Regions from separate parts of the Mus musculus genome. Here all the other regions are reported to be linked to region 2. Evidence: microRNA targets listed by miRTarBase, many of them from high-throughput screens and not tested one by one. Region 2 holds a microRNA gene; each other region holds the end of a gene's coding sequence.

What was found. Region 2 holds the annotated microRNA mmu-miR-3572-3p (UACACUUGUCCUUCUUUCCCCAG, at 986-1,008, opposite strand). A microRNA usually pairs through its seed, bases 2 to 8, with sites in the 3' UTR of a target mRNA and lowers its output. Matches are read on the target gene's strand: a 7mer-m8 pairs with bases 2 to 8, a 7mer-A1 pairs with bases 2 to 7 and ends in A, and an 8mer does both.
Region 1: the mRNA of Pdlim5 is a reported target of mmu-miR-3572-3p. Seed matches in the 3' UTR shown: 8mer at 2,318-2,325.
Region 3: the mRNA of Ddx58 is a reported target of mmu-miR-3572-3p. Seed matches in the 3' UTR shown: 7mer-m8 at 1,686-1,692, 7mer-m8 at 2,039-2,045 and 7mer-m8 at 2,634-2,640.

Annotation. Positions count from the first base shown.
Region 1 is chr3:142,238,961-142,243,234 of GRCm38, forward strand. Pdlim5 (PDZ and LIM domain 5) reads right to left here. Exons shown (of 13, transcript NM_019808.3): 13 at 625-3,809. The coding sequence ends at 3,720. Among named protein-coding and RNA genes, the nearest start is that of Bmpr1b, 72 kb to the left of the region's middle.
Region 2 is chr7:3,653,018-3,657,017 of GRCm38, reverse strand. Mir3572 (microRNA 3572) reads right to left here and starts at 1,056; the gene lies at 971-1,056. It overlaps Cnot3 (CCR4-NOT transcription complex, subunit 3), which reads right to left. Exons shown (of 18, transcript NM_146176.3): 8 at 3,599-3,818; 9 at 3,374-3,507; 10 at 2,819-2,875; 11 at 1,066-1,447; 12 at 862-985; 13 at 33-231.
Region 3 is chr4:40,202,336-40,206,609 of GRCm38, reverse strand. Ddx58 (DEAD/H box helicase 58) reads left to right here. Exons shown (of 18, transcript NM_172689.3): 18 at 504-2,833. The coding sequence ends at 800. Among named protein-coding and RNA genes, the nearest start is that of Ddx58, 35 kb to the left of the region's middle.

The DNA of each region.
Region 1 (4,274 bases), not on the chromosome of region 2:
AAATGTCAGATGCAGACTCGATGCCCTTAAAAGTTTGGCTTCTGGAGTTTAATATACTGTGAGCAAAATAGACTTGAGTTTCTTTCCCATTCCCAATGTGCAGTCTAAAACAGAGACATCCCTCTAAATTTACACAGTTAGGAAAGAAAATAAAGTTCCCCCAAGCGGAAAGACAAAAGAGTAAGAGATGAGTGAGCCTACCTAGTAATGGCCAGTCAGCTCATGAGCCTGAGCTGAGACATGAGACAGCCTGGCTAATGCCAAATGTGAAGAGCAAGAAATCTGTCCTTTGGTTATGACACTAATCATATGACACAGCGAGGCATGATACTATGCCATTCCAATAACTAGTTTTAGCAATGAACATATTTAAAGACTGGTTATCTACTAATTTGCAAACAAGTCTTATACATATTGGACATGCAAAGGCTAGAAGGTAGATAGTACAGTAAAAGCAGTATTTTCAAATGTTTAGGGCAGCAGGATTGGCTAACACCATGGCAGAGACTTGTCAGGGGTTGTTTCCAGGCCTGTGATGATGAAACATGACTTTTGACTTTTCCCCATGCTCAGTTAAGTGAAAGCACAGAGCACCCAGAGAGGGGGAAAAAAAAAGGCCAGGCGTGCTGTCGACATCATTGCAGTTGTTTATTGAGTATGTGCTTATTAAAGTATCACTATACAGATTACATTTCTCATGTGATTTTTTTAATTAAAAATATATCCAAAAGCAAAAGAGCAGCTATACACAAACTTTAAAATGCGAAGAAGGAAAAAGACAGCAACTGACAGGTTCAACATATTACACATAAGCATCTAAGTCCAATACCTTAGACAATGGAGGTGAGGGACAGACTGGAGTAAGGGTACATTTGTGTGAGTTGCCTCTGCTCCAATGGAGATGACTGAGCTGCACATGCACAAAAGCATTAATGTTCCACTGAACTTGCACTGCGGGAATCACTTTTCCGTGGAAGTGCCTCTAACCTCGAGTTCCTTGGAAAGAGTACATTTTGCTGTAGATAATTTAAAACATAGTTTTATATCAATATTCAAAGGATTTTGTTTACAAATCTCTTGTAAACAAATGGTTACTTTTGCTTTAATACGATGGCCAAAGAATTAGGCTTTGGTTTTACATGGGGAAGGTAACCTGACCCCTGGAAAACATGGAATCACAAGGAAGAGAAACACTTTACTACTTCAACAGGCAGCAGTCAGACCGAACAATTAGAGAGACAGTATCAATGTAGGACCATCCAAGCCTGAACAATGAGAAATTGGAGGAGGGACTTAAAGTCATGCACTATGGTTTCCATCTGGGCTTTATCGAGTGCAGCCTTCTAAACATACATCTAGCAGGAGGAAAGCTCGGGGTTCTATGGTGAAAACTTACTAGTGAAAAAACAATGCTACCGACACAGAAGACTTCTAATAAATACCCAGGGAGCTCGCCAGAAGGGTAAAGTGCCAGGTATCTACAGACCCATGCTGGTAAACAAAACATAGCAATCCCCACTGCAGACAGAGCTTCTGGCTATGGTTAGAACTCACCTCCCAGAGGTCACTGTTTTAGGTATGGATATACAACTTGCCATAAAACAGGCAAAGAATACAGACACAATGCCAAATTACCAAGCCACACTAGCTTTTACAGATTAAATTTAGAGAAATCCAGCATTATAGAATGCAGCGTTATACTCTACAAATAACACATAGAAGTAAAGGCTTAATAAAATTGATATCCTTGGTAAAAGAAAATTTTATAAGAACTCCAACTCAAAGAAAAGCCTTTGAGTATGCAAATGCCAATGAGTTTTCAAATATTATCTTTGTACATCATCTAAAAGACAAAACAAAACTACCACATCAAAACAAAACCCCAACTTATTTTGTCGCATAAGCCAAAGCCTGACATTCAGATCTGAAATAACACTATAACTAACTTGATAACATGAGTTATCAAGTCTGATACTGATCACTGCAGCAGCACAAAGACCTAACGGACAAAGCCCCAGCATTGACTTCTGAAGACATTTCCTGCCTCCCTACAAGCACAGGTGAGGAGGCAACCTGGGCCGCTACTGGAGAAGCTTCCATTTTGCAATGTGGTATCACCCTTGCTGTTCATTGATCTCCCAGTTCATTACTATCTGCATATAATATAAATTCACTAGACCATAGATTAGCAGCTTTCAGGACAGATGCCTTGAAAGTTCTTAGGGAGGTTAAACAAATACTGTAGTCTAAGACGTCTTTTTTAACAGGCACACGCGCACACACACACACACACACACACACACACACGATGCACAAGTACACTTGGGTGATGGGGCAGCAGGAACCTGGGAACTCTATCTGGAATTTGAAAGCACCTTGTCCCCACAGATTTAAGCTGTAACTCAGCAGGATCACACGCTTTTATTCATTATAGAAACGAAGAAAACACGAAACGCCATCATTTCTTTTCTCCCTAGGTAGTGAGGCAAACTACACGGCTGTCTCAAAGTCACTTTCCTGACTACAGGCGGTGCCTGCATGATGCTGTGCTCTCTCAGGACGAACAGATGACGGGAGCATGGGAGAGCTGCATCATGGTTCTCCCTTACTACCAAAGGCCCGAGACCCAAAGTTGTCTAAGTCAGCGATCACACAGCTGGAGGGGATTTACTTACTGATAGAAAAGAATCCCAAACAAAAAACAAGAAACAAAATCCCCCAAACAACTCCAAATAAGCAAAAACACAGTAACAATATACAGTTGGCTCTTATCATAATCCTCAATCTAAAACGAACCAAAAAGAAAAAAGAACCAAGAACCGGGCAAGGAGGTTTTGAACCTTCAGTTAGAGACATAAGATGTAAAAATCAGTCAGTTCATTATCTGAAAGTGGGAAGTGGTCCTTTTAACTTTCTACTTACAATGACTTTATTTCCATAATTCCTTTATCTTCCACCTACTCTTTTCTAAAAAGGAGACAAAACTATTAGAGTCTAACGCTATTGAAATATCTTCATGTCAGCATAAGAGATGAAAAGCATGGCGGTCTGGACCAGGCAGCCATACACAACACAAACAAACTGCCCCATCTGAAGGCGGCCAGCATCTGGGAGAACATCAGAAGAGATCACAACAATCTCTTACTGGCACGACACACTTTGATCAAGAATTTCCATGGCCCATCTTACTGAAAGGTAAGACCAATGATAAGAGCAAAGCAAGTACACTCACTAAACAGAAAAGTTACTGCCTACTCATAAAATTTATTTAGATTTCTACTTACTATTTTAAAGATAAAATGGTTTTATTAAACAATTATTCTTATTAATAAGGTTTAAGGCACTTTTATTGCCTTCTGTGGATTCTCATAGCTACTACCCGCCCCACAAAGTATTATTTCAGCATAGAGGCTAGGGATTTTAATTCTAAAATGTAATACTTTGCTAATTTATTCTAAGATGAACTTAATAGCCAGGAAATTGATTTTTATAAAAGCTATTTCATGTGCAGAAAATACTGGCAATTCATAACAAATGCCAAACTGTCTGTGGCTTTCTAAACCAAACGTTTTCTCAGATTTGATTTTTAAAGTTGGAGTCTGTGCCTTCAGGGCTATTACTATTTGAGAACTCCATATAAATATTAAACTAAAAATTAAATGGTAATTTTGATTTTGCTTTTTCTTCAAATTTCTTCTCTTTCCTGGAACCACTGATTTTCAAAAATTCACAGAATGAGCATGTTTTTTGCAAAGTGGCTTGTCCTTCTTGGAGAAAAATGTCTGCCCTTCCAAACTTTCACAACACACCTGGAAGAAAAAAAAAAAAGAAGCATTATTTAAAAGAATAACATTATTTAAATCAAATCTCCCAACAGGAAGTGACTGCCCCCAATGAGCAACATTACAAGTTCTTTAGATAGTTGTGTGAGACAAGCTGACACTTCATGATTAACATGACATTTTATGTCATTTTTGAAAAGCAGAGTGATTTTTTTCCTAGAACAGTCTGATTTATTTAAATAACAGATGATTGCTTTTCTTTACTAAGAAGAAAACACTTAGTCCCAATGAAAATTTTAGTACACCAAAAGTCACATTAAGAATACAAATTCTAACCAATTTTTAAAAAATCTGTTTCCTTTTATAGAGCATTCAAAAAGAAACATAGCTTAATTCCTTTGCCAAACCCAATGTCAGTCTGTCCTATAACACAAAGGCCATAGATTCTTGCTATTATTATTTGTTCATCTTTTATTATGTGTATGTGCCTGA
Region 2 (4,000 bases):
ATAGGCTCAGGGCTCACACCCGAGAAACTCACCTTGATTTCTGGGGTGGTGCTGAACTGTGGAGGACCATTAAGCAGGGTACCAGCTGCCTTGGCTTCACTGAAGCTGGGCGTTGGAGAACTGGGGGGATTTACAGGCAGTGGCACCAAGAGGCTGGGTCCCCCCGAGTTATTCCCTGAGCCTGAAGCCACATTCCCAGCCCCTGATGGGGCTGCCGTACTGGATTCCTTTCTGGGTAAAGAATGGAGGAGAATCAAATTAAGATCCTTGAAGACAGGCACAGAATATGGGATCCAAAAAGGGGGGTGGGGGCTGAAAGCAAGACAGCTGGAGCATGCAGAAGTGAATCCAACCTCTGGACTCCTCTTCAGTACAGCAGAGGTACTGAGGTGTGCAACCAGGATTTTAGGGTCCCCCCAACAGCTTATGAAGTTAAAGGACAGGGGACAGGGTAGTTCTAGAATTGTCACTGAAACAGTTTTGGAGTAAATGATTGCACAGATGCACATGGTGCAATCCCAGTAGGACTGGTAACGAGGCTGACAAGGCAGCAGATCTTTCATTAGTAATCTGATGTCAAGCTGAAGAAATGGAGGACTAGGATATTTTACTTGGAAAAGGGAAAAGCCCCCACACTCATGGGAGTCAGCTGCCTCAGAGCAAAGAACAGAAATGGGAAGACAGTGTAGTGTGAAACCGAGAGTAAAACATGTCCCACTTGGTAAGAAGCAGGGAAAAGAACACTTGCTGAGGTGAAGAAAGGACACACTGGGTAGGTACTACCCAGGAAGGGTAGAACTTGGAACCCTAAAACAAGTGGCATAAGAGCTTGTGCCCACACACTGCCACCCCACTACTCACGAGGTGCTGGGAGCTGGGTTGTGAGGGCCCGAAGTGGGCCCAAGGGCTTGGCTGCTGGCACTGCTGCCCCCACTGCTACTCAGGGTCACCTCTGCAGGGCTGTCTGCCACAACCGAACTATAGCCTGGGGAAAGAAGGACAAGTGTAAACAGGCTGTCAGCTACTGTCCACCTTGCCCTGTTCCCCAAACTGGTCTCCACTTACTTGTGGCACCGTTCTGCTTGCCAGCCCCTCCGCCTGTGCCACTGTTACTATTGCTGCTGCTCCCTCCGCTGCCACCACCACTTCCCCCGCTTGGCTGGGCACTGGGGGGCCGTGGCTGGGCATTGCTGGGCCCGCTGGCATTAGGTGGGGCCACAGCCTGGGCATAGGGTGCAGGAGTACCCGAGTTGTGGCTGGGAGCTGGACTGGCCTTAGGGCCCAGGGCACTTGTAGGTGCTGCTGGGGTAGAGGCCCCATTGTTGCCAGGGGTGGAGCTCAAGGCAGAAGTGGTAGGTGGGGGGCCAGAGGGGTAGGTGGGCGGCACAGCTGGGGACTGGGGGTGCTGGTTGCTGTGGACAGGCTTGGAGCCATTTTTGGCTGGAGACTGCAGGAAGAAAGAAAGAAAAAACAAAGGGTCAGGTACTAGACCAGCCTGTCCCCTATCCACCACCCTCTTCTTGTCCTCCTGCCTTGCCTCTGACCTGCTATTAACTGTCCACATTCTCTGAGGCACCTAGGAGACTTCAATCACCTTCAGGTTTAAGACCTATTTACTTCCAGCCCACCCAGCTGTCCCAAGTCCTCCCCGGACATTGTCCCTATAGCCCACATGAATCTGACAGGGTTTAGGTTAAGACAAGAGACCAAGGGAAACTCTCAAATACCCTGAACTTGAGACCTAAAGTGGTGACACATGCCTTTGATCCTAGCACTTGAGAGGCAGAGACAGGCAGCCCTCTATGAGTCTGAGATTAGCCTTGTCTATTTGGAGAGCTCAGGCCAGCATAGGCTACACAGCGAGATGCTCTTGTAAAAGAAACAAACAACACAAACAAAAACAAAAATCCCAACCTCAATTTGCAATTAGTTGGATCAGCCTAAATGTTTAAGCGTAAGGGAACTAGGACAATCAATTCCTTCCGAATGTCAGCTAATCATGAAACTGTAAAAATGCAGTGCTCCAGGGCATCCCTACTTAAACTACGCTCCAACAACCAGGCTGCCATGCCAAACTGCCTCCTAGCCTTCTGACCACCACACAAAAATCACAAAGAAAACTGGCCATTCACATTTTTCCTGGGACTTCTGCTTGACAGTCAAGGGGCCTGATAAGGTGGCAGAACTAAGCCCACCCCCATGATTCCTTGCCCCACCTCCTCACTCCATTACTCTGGCTGCTCCTAAACCCTGGTCCCCAAATTAGCTTCATTAGTGTGCACTTAGGTCCTCCCACTGGAGACTGTCCTTTCTATTAGCCTAAAGGAATTCTGGGCTTCTTCAACAACATTCTTGTCTCCTAAGATATGTTCTTATTGTAGGAGAAATTGACAGAGCTGAGTTTATTCATTAGGATCTAAAGGAATTCAGAAGTGCCGCATACTGCCTTCCTCTCTCAGGAAGTGCTTCCTGCAGTCAGTGCAGCACAGGCAGTCTGACTTTCTGATCACTTCTCAGGCTATTTGGGTCCTCAAGAGACCAAAGAGTCCTCAGTCCAACAGCCCACCTCTCATACTTCCTAACTTCTTGCCACAGTTCCCTGTGTGACCTGCCCACAGTACCACCTAGTCTTCCTCTATAAGCCAGACAACAGGCCACCTCAACCACACCACCAGTCATCACCCTACCCTCAGAGTAGCACTGTTTCTGGCACACCTGTCCCAAGAGCCCAGCATCGTGGCCAACCCTCCAGCTTCAGTAACTTTGGAGACCACGCAATAAACAAGTTACAAACCATCAGATTTAGACTTGGACCCACCTGGCTGACTTCACTATCTGTAGATCGGCCTCTCTTCTTATCATCTTCAGAGTTTTCCTGAGGCAGGGGAAGTGAAGTAAAAAAACTCTGTGACCTCCAGGGTCCCAAAACAGAGGGCAATCCTTTAAGGACACAGGAGGGCCCTTACTACTCTCAGTCTCTCATAGACCCATCTGAGTAGCCCTGTGCTCCAGAGCTGCTCCAATACTCAGCCTGAAGTTTTGGTTAACACCTAAAAATCTGAGAGTCAGCACTCACTCCCATCCTGAGACATACCCAGGACTTCTTTCCTTATAGACTTTGGCCCCGGATCCCTGTCAGAAGGGAGACACCCAGCTGCTCAGCTCCTCAGCTTTCCACACCCCAACTCCTCCTGACTACCACCACCAAAGACCCATGTGCACCCTAAAACTGAGTGGAAACCCAGGTTTTTTATATCCGTTCCTCAGAGCACAAAAAGCCTAGAGCTCACTTCCTGAGCTGCCCTCTCTAAGGCAAGACTAGGCTTTTGACTCCTCCATGACCACCCTCTTATTAATAACCTTGGACACTTACCGTAGTGCAGTTTGCTGGGCTGGGTGGGATGGGAGAGCTGGAGGTTGTTGAGGTGGGTGTACTGCTAGACTGGTTGAAGATCTCGTCCTCCATGTGGCTGTGGCTGGGGGGGGAGGTGGCGACCAGCGCCTGTGCTGTGGGGGTAGGGGAGCAGCATGCTTAGCTGGTACAGCCATGCCTCCTGCCCTCACCCTCTGTGCCATGAAGGTCAGCCCAGGGCCTCACGAATGTCCTCGAGGTCCAGGTCGTCATAGAGGAATTCGTTCTCTTCAAAGTCGGGGTCCTGGGATGAGTCAACGTAGTACTCCACATCATCCTTGATCTTGCGGATGGCATCAACCAGGATGGAGTCATTGTCCAGCATTCGCAGGATGGTCTCCAGCATACGAACATGGTAGCGGTGCTTCTCGATATGCCGCTTCAAGCCCTCAATCCGGTCCTGCTTCTGCTGGCGAGCCCAGGGCCAGGCTCAGGGGCTGCAGAGCACCTGGCCAGCCCTCCTGCCCCCACAGAACCTGTCCTCAGTCCCCCATCACTAGGGCACCCCAAGGGTGCCTCTGCTCCAGCCCTCCTAACATGGGCCAGTGAGAAGTTTGCCCATCCTCTGTCCCAGTGAGGACAAATCTG
Region 3 (4,274 bases), not on the chromosome of region 2:
ATCCTCTGCAACGCACGCAGCTGGAGCCATGTGTACTCCTTTGTGGATGGCTTAGTCGCTGGGAGCTCTTGGGGGACTGGTTGGTTGATATTGTTTTTCTCCCTGTGGGGTTCCTTCAGTTGTAGGGTACTCTCTTAAGTCAAGTCTAAGTGGGGTCTGTGGACAGCATGGCTCCTGAGCCTGTTCACACACATACCCTGTGACCCCTGGGTGTCACCAGCCCTGTGCTTTGGTGCCTTCCTGGCCTCTGGTGAACTTGAACTTTGTATGTGAACTCCTCTTTGCTTCTGAGTTGGAAAGCTGGGTTTCCTCCTTTCTCAGGTGCCAGACGCCCAGGAAATGGGTCCTAATCGGCCTGGGGAAGACTGTCTATATAGTTTTTTTTTCTTCCAACTTGTAAAATAAATGGGATCCCACTCATTCCTGACTTTTAGCTACTGAGTGGCTTCTAAGTCATTTTCAGACCCGTTTCTAACATTGTGCGCTCCATCTCTTCCTCCTAGACGTCCCACTACACTGTCCTTGGAGACGCTTTTAAGGAGCGCTTTGTGTGTAAGCCACACCCTAAACCAAAGATCTATGACAATTTTGAGAAGAAAGCAAAGATATTCTGCGCCAAACAGAACTGTAGCCACGACTGGGGAATTTTTGTGAGATACAAGACGTTCGAGATTCCAGTCATAAAAATTGAAAGTTTCGTCGTGGAAGATATTGTGAGCGGAGTTCAGAACCGGCACTCAAAGTGGAAGGACTTTCATTTTGAAAGGATACAGTTCGATCCTGCAGAAATGTCCGTATGACCTCAGGCTTCTCCGTCTCGTGCCGCAGGGAGCCGTGCCTTAAGCATGGAGTTGATGAGCCAATGCTTTCTTACCCAAGCTTGCACAATCCTTTCTTACACAAGCCTGCACTGTGTTGAATGCCAGATAACCTGACTGGTTGGTTTCAAGCTGGTGCTGTCCACACAAAGCACACACGCCTGAACTGCGGCGCCGAATAGTTTCTTCACCAATAACTCATAGCGTAGCCCTTGGCCATGGTGGGGAGGGGTTAAACTTGTCCCTTTTACACTTTTCAGAACTGCCCGACAGGGAACGTGCAGCCACTCGGTACACCGAGACGCATGATGGCTGGCGTGCTGGAAGGGTTCCCGTTCTCTGTCTGCTCGATCTGCTGTAAGCTGCCTTTGCCCTTAATGACAGTGCCCTTAAGAACAGTGACTTAGTTCTTTTTCAGGCCACCAGACTGACTGCCAGATCCCTTCTGTCCCTTCTGTCCCTTGCACTGATTCCTTTCCGGATTTGACCCTGCCACCCTGTCACCCTCTGCAGAGTCTCCTGGTTTCTGTCTCTTCCTTGGTTTCTTTGCTGACTCAAATTTGGTAGTTGCAAGGTTCAGTATGCACACATATATATTTAAAATGACATATAATTTAAAATGTAAAAGACTATAGTTGACAGCTATGCTTACTGAGATGGTATTTCTGTTCTGTTCATTACTATACATCTTACCCTTGCTCTCATCTGTTCTTTTAACTTGGGCCATTTCCCGTCTTTGAATAGACATCTCAAACCCTGTCTGTATGTCTGTCTGTTTCCCACCTGTTTGAGACAGGGTCTCTCTGTAGACCAGAAACTCCATATGTAGACTATGCTGGCCTTGAACTCACAGATCCCCCTGCCTCTCAAGTGTTGAAATTAAAATCTTTCACCATGCCTGGCTCTAGCTATTTTCAATAAAGGCTCATGTTTAAAGTTTGAACTACTTCCAATTCATTCCCTGACGTGGCTTGTTGTTGTTGTTTACTTTTGGAGACACTGTTCCTCTCTGTAGCCCTGGCTGTGTAGACCAGGCTGCCCTTGGTCACAGAGATCTGCCAGCTTCTGCCTCCGGAGCACTGAGATTGAAGGCCTGCATCACCATGCCTGGCTTGCCCTTTCTTCTTAAACATTATATATTCAAATGGCATTTCCGTGTTTCTTCTCAAGGTGTGCCAGTGCTTCAGAGAGCTTAGTTTGGGGTTCTTCAGATCAAGAGACAAGTGTCTGAGCGCTGTTACTGCCAACAGAGCAAAGTACTCTTCAGTTCAGGGAAGGAACAGTGCTGGTTTTGTAGGCAGTACAGTGGTTTTAACACCTTCCTAGAACTTACTTGTAATTCATCAGTTGTAGACCATCAATGGCCTAAACCAAACTGCAGAGATCATCTGACCACATAACTCCCCTTCCAGGACATTTACATTTGAAGACTATCCCAAGCCCACCCAGAGCACAGTGGGTTACCCAAACTCCCCAGGTCAACCCTGGAGGTCAACAGTATGACATGGGATAGCACACCACTTCTCACAGATGCCTAGAGAAATTACCCAGCAACATAACTCTTTGGGGAAAAAACACCTATAGGGATTAGGCTTTTAATTGATAGAATAGGTAGAAAAAAAGATATGTAGTAGTTCTTGATAGTGGTTACTGGTAAAATTCTTAGTGCAATAAAATGAATTTGCCGAGAGCTGACTTTCTTTTTTTTCTTGTTTTTTTGAGACAGGGTTTCTCTGTATAGCTTTGGCTGTCCTGGAATGCACTCTGTAGTCCAGGCTGGCCTTCGAACTCAGAAATCCGCCTTCCTCTGCCTCCCAAGTGTTGGGATTAAAGGCGTGCGCCACCACGCCTGGCTGAGAGCTGACTTTCATTTATGTCTTTTAGTCTATGTTGCCTTTCTTTGCTGCTACAGTTTAAGAACTCTACAGCTTGTATAAGATACCTACTGGAAATTATTTGAGAAAAAAAACTTGTAAACATTACAATAATTTAATTAATTAAAAATTTATGTATTTTATGTATATGGGTGTTTTTTTCTGCAAGTCTGTGTGCACATTAGAAGAGGGCATTGGATCCTCTCTATTGTTATAGTTTTATGCTGCTGCTGTTGTTGCTGTGTGTGTGTGTGTGTGTGTGTGCTATGAATTGAACTCAGGACCTCTGGAAGAGCAGTCAGTGCTCTTAACTGCTGAGCTATCTCTCCAGTCCTGGCAATGATAAATCAGTTGAAGTGAAATAGTCCTCCCCCCCCTTTTTTTTTTTTGCCAATGGGGAAAAGCAGACTAAATCTGAGACCAAATGAAGTTTTGAGTTGTACACTGACTTAAGCCACTGCCAAGCATACCCTGGAATGGAGCAAACCCTGGGTTACTAAGTACTGAATGAATACAACAGGAAGGTTTTGAGAGATGGGAAAATGCTTGTCTTTGGACTTCCCTGATGGAAGTTGCATCTGGACTCTCCCATGAGCACATCACCAGTCCCCACTAGAGTCCTCACAGGTTGCCATCCATGTGTCCTTTTTGAGGCTGAGATACAACTTGTTCTGCAACCACAGACCTTGCTGTTTTGTGGTCAGTATTGGTATCATAGCATTTTCATCCTGACCTGGAGCCTTCAGTCAAAGGCCTCATTGTGCAGTAAGGACGCTGGACTCCTGACTCCTATACTTAAAACAGACTTGGTAATTTCAAACAAGTCAACCAGATGCCAGTATTTCTGCATGCATGTCTTGTGGGATGGTGTTGTGAGGTCCCCTGACAGATGCACTGAGTGGCCAGGGAGACTTTTGTACCCTTTTCCATTTTAACAGCCCACGGGTCACTGTGTTGCTTCCATCATATTAACATCAACTTGAACCAGTGGTTCCTGAAACACTTCAGTTCATTGGACCTTGCTAATTAGCATCCTGTAAAAACCCACCAACAAATATCAACTAGACAGGTAGAATCCAAGTGAACTGTACACTCCTGGATCATGCCAGTAACTGTTTTAATAATACACCATAAAATATAACTACGACTTCATTTTACAAATCTGTGTTTAATAAACAGGTACAGGCTTGTTGGGTGCGAACTTTTAAAACTCCTAATAAAAATGCCAGCTATGATTATCTTTGTTTATGGCAATTTGACTAAGAGAACAGAAATTAGCTGAGTGTTAAAGTACATCTGTGCTTACAACATTTAACAACTTCCTAAAGAGCCGGTAGAACCACAGTTCCTGTGTTCATAAGCAAGGCTGTTTCAGTCCGGTACAACCCATGGGCTGCTCCATGCCATCTTACCTGAAGGTAGCCTCCTTTGAACACTTGGGCTCCAGAGCGTGGTGCTGTTGGGGAACTTGTGGGAGATGAAGCCTCCCTGGAGGAGGCGTGTCACTGGGGATGGATCTAGAGACTCTGTAGCTGGTTCCTCTTCCTGTTCAGTCAGCTTTCTAAGAGGAGATGCAATGTGG